Linked DNA regions of Cricetulus griseus. The protein of the gene in region 2 interacts with the protein of the main gene of each other region in a pairwise test. Links are inferred from orthologs where the notes say so. Each region holds a gene or a part of one and is shown on either strand. Other genes may lie near its edges.

What was found.
Region 1: the proteins of Pnkp (region 2) and Znf639 interact in binary tests that used the Homo sapiens proteins (3 or more experiments, as listed by UniProt). The two-hybrid records come from large-scale screens. The link is inferred for Cricetulus griseus from reciprocal best matches to the Homo sapiens genes PNKP and ZNF639.

Annotation. Positions count from the first base shown.
Region 1 is NW_023276806.1:116,836,005-116,839,813, forward strand, and holds part of Znf639 (zinc finger protein 639), read right to left. Parts: intron 1,286-3,809; coding exon 1,175-1,285; intron 1-1,174. UniProt on the Homo sapiens protein: Binds DNA and may function as a transcriptional repressor.
Region 2 is NC_048599.1:153,693,805-153,698,410, forward strand, and holds the start of Pnkp (bifunctional polynucleotide phosphatase/kinase), read left to right. Parts: upstream 1-1,654; 5' UTR 1,655-1,870; coding exon 1,871-2,021; intron 2,022-2,511; coding exon 2,512-2,558; intron 2,559-2,819; coding exon 2,820-3,119; intron 3,120-3,805; coding exon 3,806-3,885; intron 3,886-3,963; coding exon 3,964-4,021; intron 4,022-4,169; coding exon 4,170-4,277; intron 4,278-4,429; coding exon 4,430-4,501; intron 4,502-4,606. UniProt on the Homo sapiens protein: Plays a key role in the repair of DNA damage, functioning as part of both the non-homologous end-joining (NHEJ) and base excision repair (BER) pathways.

The DNA.
Region 1 (3,809 bases), on a different chromosome or scaffold from region 2:
GAGCTTCCTAAGGAATGATACCGAATTATTCCTTTAGTCCAGCCTCGTTCCCTCCAAGTTGAAACTAATATAAGGGTCAAGAGAGAAAACTGGACTGAAACATGTGTATGTCGTCGTCGTCCCCCCCCCCCACACACACACAGACAGGGTTTTGGAGGCTGTCCTGGAACTAGCTCTTGTAGACCAGGCTGGTGTCGAACTCACAGAGATCCGCCTGCATCTGCCTCCCGAGGGCTGGGATTAAAGGCGTGCACCACCAACGCCCAGCTAACGTGTATGTTTTAATAGACTTTTAAAAGAACAGTTTTAGACTTGGGAAAATCATGAAAATAGTATAAAGTACTCCTAATATATCACAACATTTCCCACTATTAATTCTTAACACTAGTATGGGGGATTTGTTGCAATTAGTGATGACATATGACCACTGACACTGATACATTATTACTAACTAAAGCCCTTACTTTGTTTTACCCAATGTCCTTTTGGATCCCACAATACATTTATTGTCTTAAGGACTATTGGTCAGCCACTTTGTAGAATGCTCCACTAATACAATTTATCTATTTCTTTTTTTCATGATTGGATTGGAATTATGAGATCCTGAATGGTAGACCCTACTGCCATCACTTCCACAACACACACTAACTACTGAGCTAACTAACCCTCCTGACTTAGCTAATGTGGCATTTTGGTTTCTGTACTGTGAATCTGTTCTTGTCCCTTCCATACCCTACTCTCTGAAAGTCACTGTGAAGTCCAAACGAAGAATTAGAAAGTTGGGTTCCATCTCCTTAAGGAAGGAATATTGATAGGAATTCATGCCAGGTGGTGATGGCACACGCCTTTAATCCCAGCACTTGGGAGGTAGAGGCAGGAGGATATCTGTGAGTTTGAGGCCAACCTGGTTTACAAAAGCAAGTTCCAGGACAGCCAGGGCTACAGAGAAACCCTGTGTTTTTTTTTTTGTTTGTTTGTTTTGTTTTTTTTTGGGGGGGGGATATGCTGAGGGAGTTTGCTACCTTTTCAGATAATTCCTAAGGAAAACAATGTAAAGGCAGCTTTGTTTTTTTGTAGTACTACAGAGGAGTTAGTTCTTACACATAGTAGGCACACACTACCACAGAGGCATCTTTAGGTCCTGTAAAAGCATTCTGGAAAAAAGGGGCCTTACCTTTGTTGTCAAAATATTTTAAATCTGGCTGTCTCATAGAGCAGACACTGTAACAATGGTCAGAAAAGATCCCACTGATCCCATCTGTGATTCTGCTTATTCCAGAAGAATCTGAATATGAAACAAAATGAAGACAATTCCCAGCATAATACAGATGCACAAGCTTGTTGTCATTTTTTATCTATCCCCCCACCAAGTTAACGATTGAACCCAGTGCCTTGCACATACCAGGCAAACCCTCTACACTGACATTTATTTTAATGAATTTCAGTAGGAAAAAATGTAGCATGTCTTCAGTTTCACACTTTAGATCAGACACTGGCATTGGCTTTAAAAGAGCCACAGATTAAACTGTAATAACTCTTAAGGAGCCAGTGGCTGCTGCACACCTATGGTGTCAGCACTGCAGAGGCTAAGGTGGATCAGCAAGACTTTAATTCTAAAATTAATTTAAATAAGATTAAAACCTTAGAAACAGGGGCTGGAGAGATGGCCCAGACACTCTGTTGCAGAGGAGCTAGTTTCAGTTTACACATGTTGGCTCACAACTGTAACTCAATTCCAGGGATCTGATATCTTCTGGCCTCCACGGGCACTAGGCTTGTGGTTCACATACATGTAGGCAAAACACTCATACACATAAAAATAAATATACCTTTAAAAACATACAAGGAAACATTTGCCTTATAGTGCAACTCTCACAAAATATACATATGTAATAAATGCTCTATTAATGATTAAAACAGTGAAGTAACTACCATTAACTTCTAAGAAGGCAAGCCACATAGTGCCAAGAAAGCATAATACATAAGAAAAATAGTCTCAGGAGCAGAGAGGGCTTCTGAATACCAGCCATTCCAAACACTGCCTGGGAAGCACCAATATACAATAGACCAAGCTGACTTTCCTCAGAGGGCACATGTGCTGGGAGCAAGTCAATGGGTATGCCTGAAACAGTCTCAACTATATATGACAGAGATGCACACAAAGATCTTTTTCTTTCTTTTCTTTTTCGTTTTTCGAGACAGGGTTTCTCTGTATTTCTTTGGAGGTTGTCCGGGAACTTGCTCTGTAACCAGGCTGGCCTCAAACTCACAGAGATCCGCCTGCCTCTGCTTTCCTTTTTCTTTTTAAAGACAGGATTTCTCTGTATAACCTTGGCTGTTCTGGAACTCTGCTCTGTAGAACATGCTGGCCTTGAACTCAGAGATCTGCCTGGAAGTGCTAAGATTAAAGGTGTGTACTACTGAAAGGTTCAGGCATTATGCTGGCCTGCCCTGATTACCTGGCAGAATTCACTCAGTCAGTACTCTGGTCAGCCTAGGGTTCCATGGGCACTAAGTCGGCACGCAGGTGTAAAGGACTCCTTTAAACTCCTCCCTCCCCCCCCCAGCCCATTTATGTGCTCTTACTCTTACGCTCTCTTACCTTCCTTTTCCTCTTACTCTCATGCTCTTTTTTCCTCTTACCTTCTCTCTGTCCCTCTCTCTATGCTCTCCCTCTCCCGCCCTGTAATAAACTGGTTAATGTATTCTCTATGGTTCATGTTCCATCGTGCCGGTTCCATCTCTCCCCTTTCTAATTTTTAAACCTAAACAAAAGAGCAACATTGATGCCAAAAGACTTGGCAGGTTTTCCTGACATTTCCTCCTGCCTGTGGTAGTCTGAGATATGCTGGGACCCTGTAAACTTCAACTCAACCACTTCTCCAACTAAGGATCTCTGGATTCTATCATCCACCACTGCCATGTCTGGTAAGCCCGCTCCTTACTCCCTAGAGTTAGGACTCTACTCGAATCAAGACTGTGGTCTCTTGAGTTTTCTGGACTGGTCGAAAATCCCAATATTGGGTGACCACGTAATGTGGCTCCGGGAGCCCTGGCCCCCGGTTTGTGCTTGATGAACTACAAAATCAGTGGGTGCCCTTTGCATCTGATCCTCCCTTAGTCTCTGGGATGCTGGAGATTATAGGCTTTGGATATTCTCTGCCTCTCTCATGGAAGCTGGGCCCCCATATCAAACCATGTGCCCGCTTATCAGCACCCTACATTCTGCTAGTGATCTATGGTTGGCAATGCGGCCTCGGGCGGATGCCTGCCACTGTGGGGGTCCCACTGCTTCCCATCATGGCTAAACCTGCCTCAGGGCAGAAACTTCCTTCCACCTGGGAATGTCCTGTTTCTTTGTGAGGATGCCAACTGCTCCCAGTGAGCTGGCCTGGGTCAGTGTCTGCTCGTGATGCTCTGAGAGTTGTTTTTTTTTTTTTTTAAATTTATTTATTTAGTGTGTATACAGTATTCTGTCTGCATGTGTCTCATCATGCCAGAAGAGGGCGCCAGATCCCATAATAGATGGTTGTGAGCCACCATGTGGTTGCTTGGAATTGAACTCAGGACCTTTGAAAGAACAGCCAGTGAGTACTCTTAACCTCTGAGCCATCTCTACAGCCCGCTCTGAGAGTTTTTTAGTTTTCATATTTTGCCCCCCACAAATGAGGTTTTCGGGTTTTGGGCGTTCGTTTCTCAGACCTATGAGGAATCTCTCGGGTTTTGTACCCTAGCAATGCTCATAGACTGGTGCATCTGTTCCTCAGAACTATGGTGGTCACACATCTTTCTGACTTGTGTAGAAAAAA
Region 2 (4,606 bases):
CTTTTATTTTTCCTTTTTTTTTTTTTTTTTATTATGTATACACTGTTCTGCCTGCATGTATCCCTGCAGGCCAGAGAGGGCACCAGACTACATTACAGATGGTTGTGAGCCACCATGTGGTTGCTGGGAATTGAACTCAGGACCTCTGGAAGAGCAGCCAGTGCTCTTAACCTCTGAGCTATCCCTCCAGCCTCTTATTTTTCCTTTTGAGACAGTTTCACTTTGTGGCCTGTACTGCATCCTTAATCTTTGGGCAGTATTTCCCATCTACCCCGTCATGCTCAGCTTTAGTGTATTTGCCCCACGAGGTGGGAGTGATCATTCCGTTTTACAGCAGAGAACCCAGCATCATCGAACAAAGGAAGAGTGTGAAGGGGCCACAGGCTTCCAATGCTAGGGACAAATGCTGGTTTCCTTTGCTGTCTCAGAGGAGTGAAGGCCAGCCCCGTGGCGCACATCTGCCATTCAAGCAACAGGGAGATGGGTTTAGTAGTCACAGGAGTTAACATCAATTCTGCCTCAAAGAACAAACCAAAGCCAGGCATAGTAGCACACACTTTTAATCCCAGCACTTGGGAGGCAGAAGCAGGCGGAAGTGTTTTGAGGTCAGCCTGGTCTGCCAAGCAAGTTCCAGGATACCAGGGCTACACAGAGAAACACCTTATCCCCCCCAAAAAAAAAAAAAAAATCAATGGCCAGCTGTGGTGGCACGTGCTTATTTTGGTTGTTTTTTGTTTTTCTAGAGATGGTTTCTCTGTGTATCTGACTGTTCAGGAACTCAACTGTAGAACAAGCTGACCCTGAACTCAGATCCTCCTGCCTCTGCCTCCCAAATACTGATATTAAAAGCAAGCGTTACTGTTGGGCGGTGGAGTCCCACGCCTTTAATAACAGCACTCAGGAGACCGGCAGATCTCTCAAGTTCGAGGCCAGCTAGGGTGTTGTGGTGGACTAACATCCAAGCCAAATAATTCGACTGTGCTGAAGATAAGTCCAGTTGGGCTTGTTGACAGCAGGTTTCGCCCATAGAAGGAGGGGGCAAGGAAGGTCATGGGACTTCACCCGCGTTCCCTGCTGTTCCTCACAAGCAGCTATGTAGCTGGGGCCTAGGCAGGGGCTAGAAAATATAGGCAAGGAAGAGGTAGGGGAAAAGACTATCTGTGCAGCGTGGGATAGGTGTGGCCTTTGCAGGTAGCACCACACACAAGTAAGTAAACCCTGTAGGCCCAGTAAATTCACTGGTTCCCCAGAATCATCTCTGATGGAATCATATTTCGGTCTACCCTTCAGACGTAGAAGGGTAGACATTGTGACACTGTTTAGGTCTTCATCCGGAAAGCACTTTTGTTTTTGGAGGTGGGGACAGGATCCCATTGTAGTACTGACTGACCTGGAGCTTGTTATGGAGACCAGGCTGGCCTCAAACTCGGAGATCCGCCTTCCTCTGCCTCCTGAGTGCGGGGATTAGACAGGTACGCCACTACACCCGGGAAGTAACTTTAACAACACGGCTACATCCTGAGACCCTATCTCACCAAAACAGAACAAAACCAAGTAACTGCAGCCTAGGGACCCAAACGCCCCCTAGCAACACGCAAGCGGGTCAGGAGCGGCGCGCGCGCTATGGGAGGAGCCAAACCTTCCGAGTCTTTCCCACAACAGTGGTGAGTCTCGGAATGAATTCCGAAGTAATCCCGACCTTAAACTATCCTCTCTAGCTACTTATGGAACTGCTGTGGTAGCCTGGGAAACGTTGAACCCGCCCATGGGCAAGGGGCGGATTTCCGGAGCGGCTCTAGTGGGAAGGCAGGACTTCCGGTAGCGGACCGTAGCTGGCTGCCCAGCGAGTTCGCCTTCGCCACATCCCGGGATGTCACAGCTGGGATCTCGGGGCCGTCTGTGGCTGCAGAGCCCCACCGAGGGACCGCCCCCTATCTTCCTGCCGTCGGACGGCCAAGCCCTGGTTCTCGGTCGGGGACCCCTGACCCAGGTGACGGACCGGAAGTGCTCCCGAAATCAAGGTGGGCGCGGGAGTGAAACTACGGCATCAAGAGCTGCAGGGAAACCTGTGCCTAACCTGGAGTTAGACAGGGCTTTCGGGGAGGGACAGAGCGGATCCGGGAGATTGTCACCGGGTGGAGGAGGATGCTCGCAGCAAAGAGACGCCTCTGGGCAGGATCTATCAGGCCATGCCCAAGACCTAGGTCTACTCAGTGTGTCTTATGGAGCAAGCCGACCCTACAGATTTAAAAAATCGTAGGTCCCGGTCCTATCGAGAGATAAACTGTTTCGGGCCGGGGGTGACACACACCTGTCATCCAGGCACTTGGCTGGTAGAAGTTTAAGGTCAGCCACCAGTGTGTGGCGACTTCTAGGCTACCCTGGGCTACTTGAGGCCCTGTGTTGGGGAAGGGAGGAAAGTGCCTTTTCCTTCGGAAGTGCAAGACGAAGTCTATAGCTGGCCACGCCCCATATGTGATGTAAACCCTGACTCCATCCCCTTACCCTCAGTGGAGCTGATTGCAGACCCTGAGACCCGGACAGTGGCAGTGAAACAGGTACCAGTGTCTCAGCAACGAGTAGCAAGGACTTGGGGTAAGGGGTCGGGGTGGGCCGCAACCCTTCAGAAGGTTAGTAGGTATTCCCTTTTCCACCGTGCCAAACTGGACTCCTTGTGACCTTTCAAAGTTCTGATTGGTAGCATGCAATGAATAGGTGGGAGATTAAGGTCTGACTGGGAGATGGGGTATTGGAATTGGTGGGGAAGCAAGTGTTCCCTGAGGAGTTGGAGCCGACCTTGGTTCCTCCTTTCTTCGCAGCTGGGTGTTAACCCATCAACTGTTGGGGTCCAGGAATTGAAGCCAGGGTTGTCAGGCTCTCTAAGCTTGGGGGATAGCCTGTATCTGGTCAATGGCCTATACCCCCTGACCCTGCGTTGGGAAGAGATTAGCACAACGGGATCCCAGCCAGATACTCCACCAGGCACTCCTCCTTCGGATCCAGTGGACAGGGAGGATGCTGAGCCTCAGAAAAAGCGGAGACGGAAATCATCCCCTGGCTGGGAGAGCTTAAAGAAGTTACTGGTGTTCACAGCATCTGGGGTAGAGTCCCGGGGCAAGGTGAGGCCACAGTCCTGCCGCTTAATACAGAGTTTGCTGTGCAGCCCTGGGCTAGTCTTATCAAAGTCTCTGAGTCTCAGCTGTTTGTTGTGAACAGAGACTGAGGTGCAGGATACAGATCAGGCCCTGTAATCAGTGATGATCAGACCTTTCTTGGATGTGTTTATGGGTTACTCTGAAATGATTAGGCCACAGAAAGTTTGGGGTCTAGTCCCTGGTTGGGCACTCAGTCAACAGAGAGTTTTGAATTTAAATTTTTATTCATTTATTTATGTGAGCCTGCTTGATTTTATGTGTACCACATGTATACAGATGCCTGCAGAGGCCAGAGAGCATTGGGTTCCCTAGAGCTGAAGTTACAGGCAGTTGTGAGCCACCTGATGTGTGTGCTCTGAGCCACTGAGTCTTCTTTTCAGCTCTTCCAACAAAGACGGTTGCTCTTTCTGAGCTGATAATCTTCCAAGAGATGCTCAGGGAAAAGGGGAGGGTGGGACACAGGTCTCCATTAAAGACTGGAAAGTGGGGAGCAGAGGACACAGGAGCAGTGAGGTACTGCTCTCCTGCCTCACTCATGCACACCCTGCAATAGGAGTGTCAAAGGGCCGGTGTCAACTGTGGGGAGAGTCCCTGTTGACACAGGGGAGTACCAAACACAGTACTGCTGTCCCTGTGTTTGGTGATACCAGGTGGCTGCCTTTGACCTAGATGGGACTCTCATCACCACTCGTTCTGGAAAGGTCTTCCCCACTAGCCCTAGTGACTGGAGGTGAGGTGGTGCCTGGCAAGAGGGTGGGAGCTCAGGTCCTCTAGGTTATAAGTCATTGCTGCTTCCCACCGACCTTAGGATTCTGTACCCAGGGATTCCAAAGAAGCTCCAAGAGCTGGATGCTGAGGGGTACAAGGTATGTGTGTGTGTGTATTCTCTAGACTCCAAGAACTACAAGGTGCGGGGCCTATGTGCATGTGTGTGCATGAACACATGCATGTTTGTGTAGAGTTCAGGCTGAGCTGTGGTGTGGTGAGCGCCAGTGTGTCCTTGTCTATCCCCAGCTGGTAATCTTCACCAACCAAATGGGCATTGGGCGAGGGAAGCTGCCGGCAGAGGTGTTCAAGGCCAAGGTGGAGGCTGTGTTGGAGAAGCTGGGGGTCCCATTTCAGGTACAGCCAGGGACACTGAGGGGCTGTGTGGGACAGGGACCCAAAGAGAACATGCCAAGGTGTGGAATGGAGGCCTTGGCTGGGGTTGTGCTGACAGAAATGACCTTGGAAGTCCTAAGCACAAGGACAGTGTAACTTGGCCACCTCAATAGGTGCTGGTGGCAACTCATGCAGGTCTAAACCGAAAGCCAGTGAGTGGCATGTGGGACCATCTGCAGGAGCAGGTGAGCATCCTCCTCCCTTCTATGTGGTCATTCCCAGCCTGGCTCCTGGTGACCTGCTGCCCTCGTTCCTTTGCCCTTCCTGGTCCTTGCCAGCTGTCGAGACCG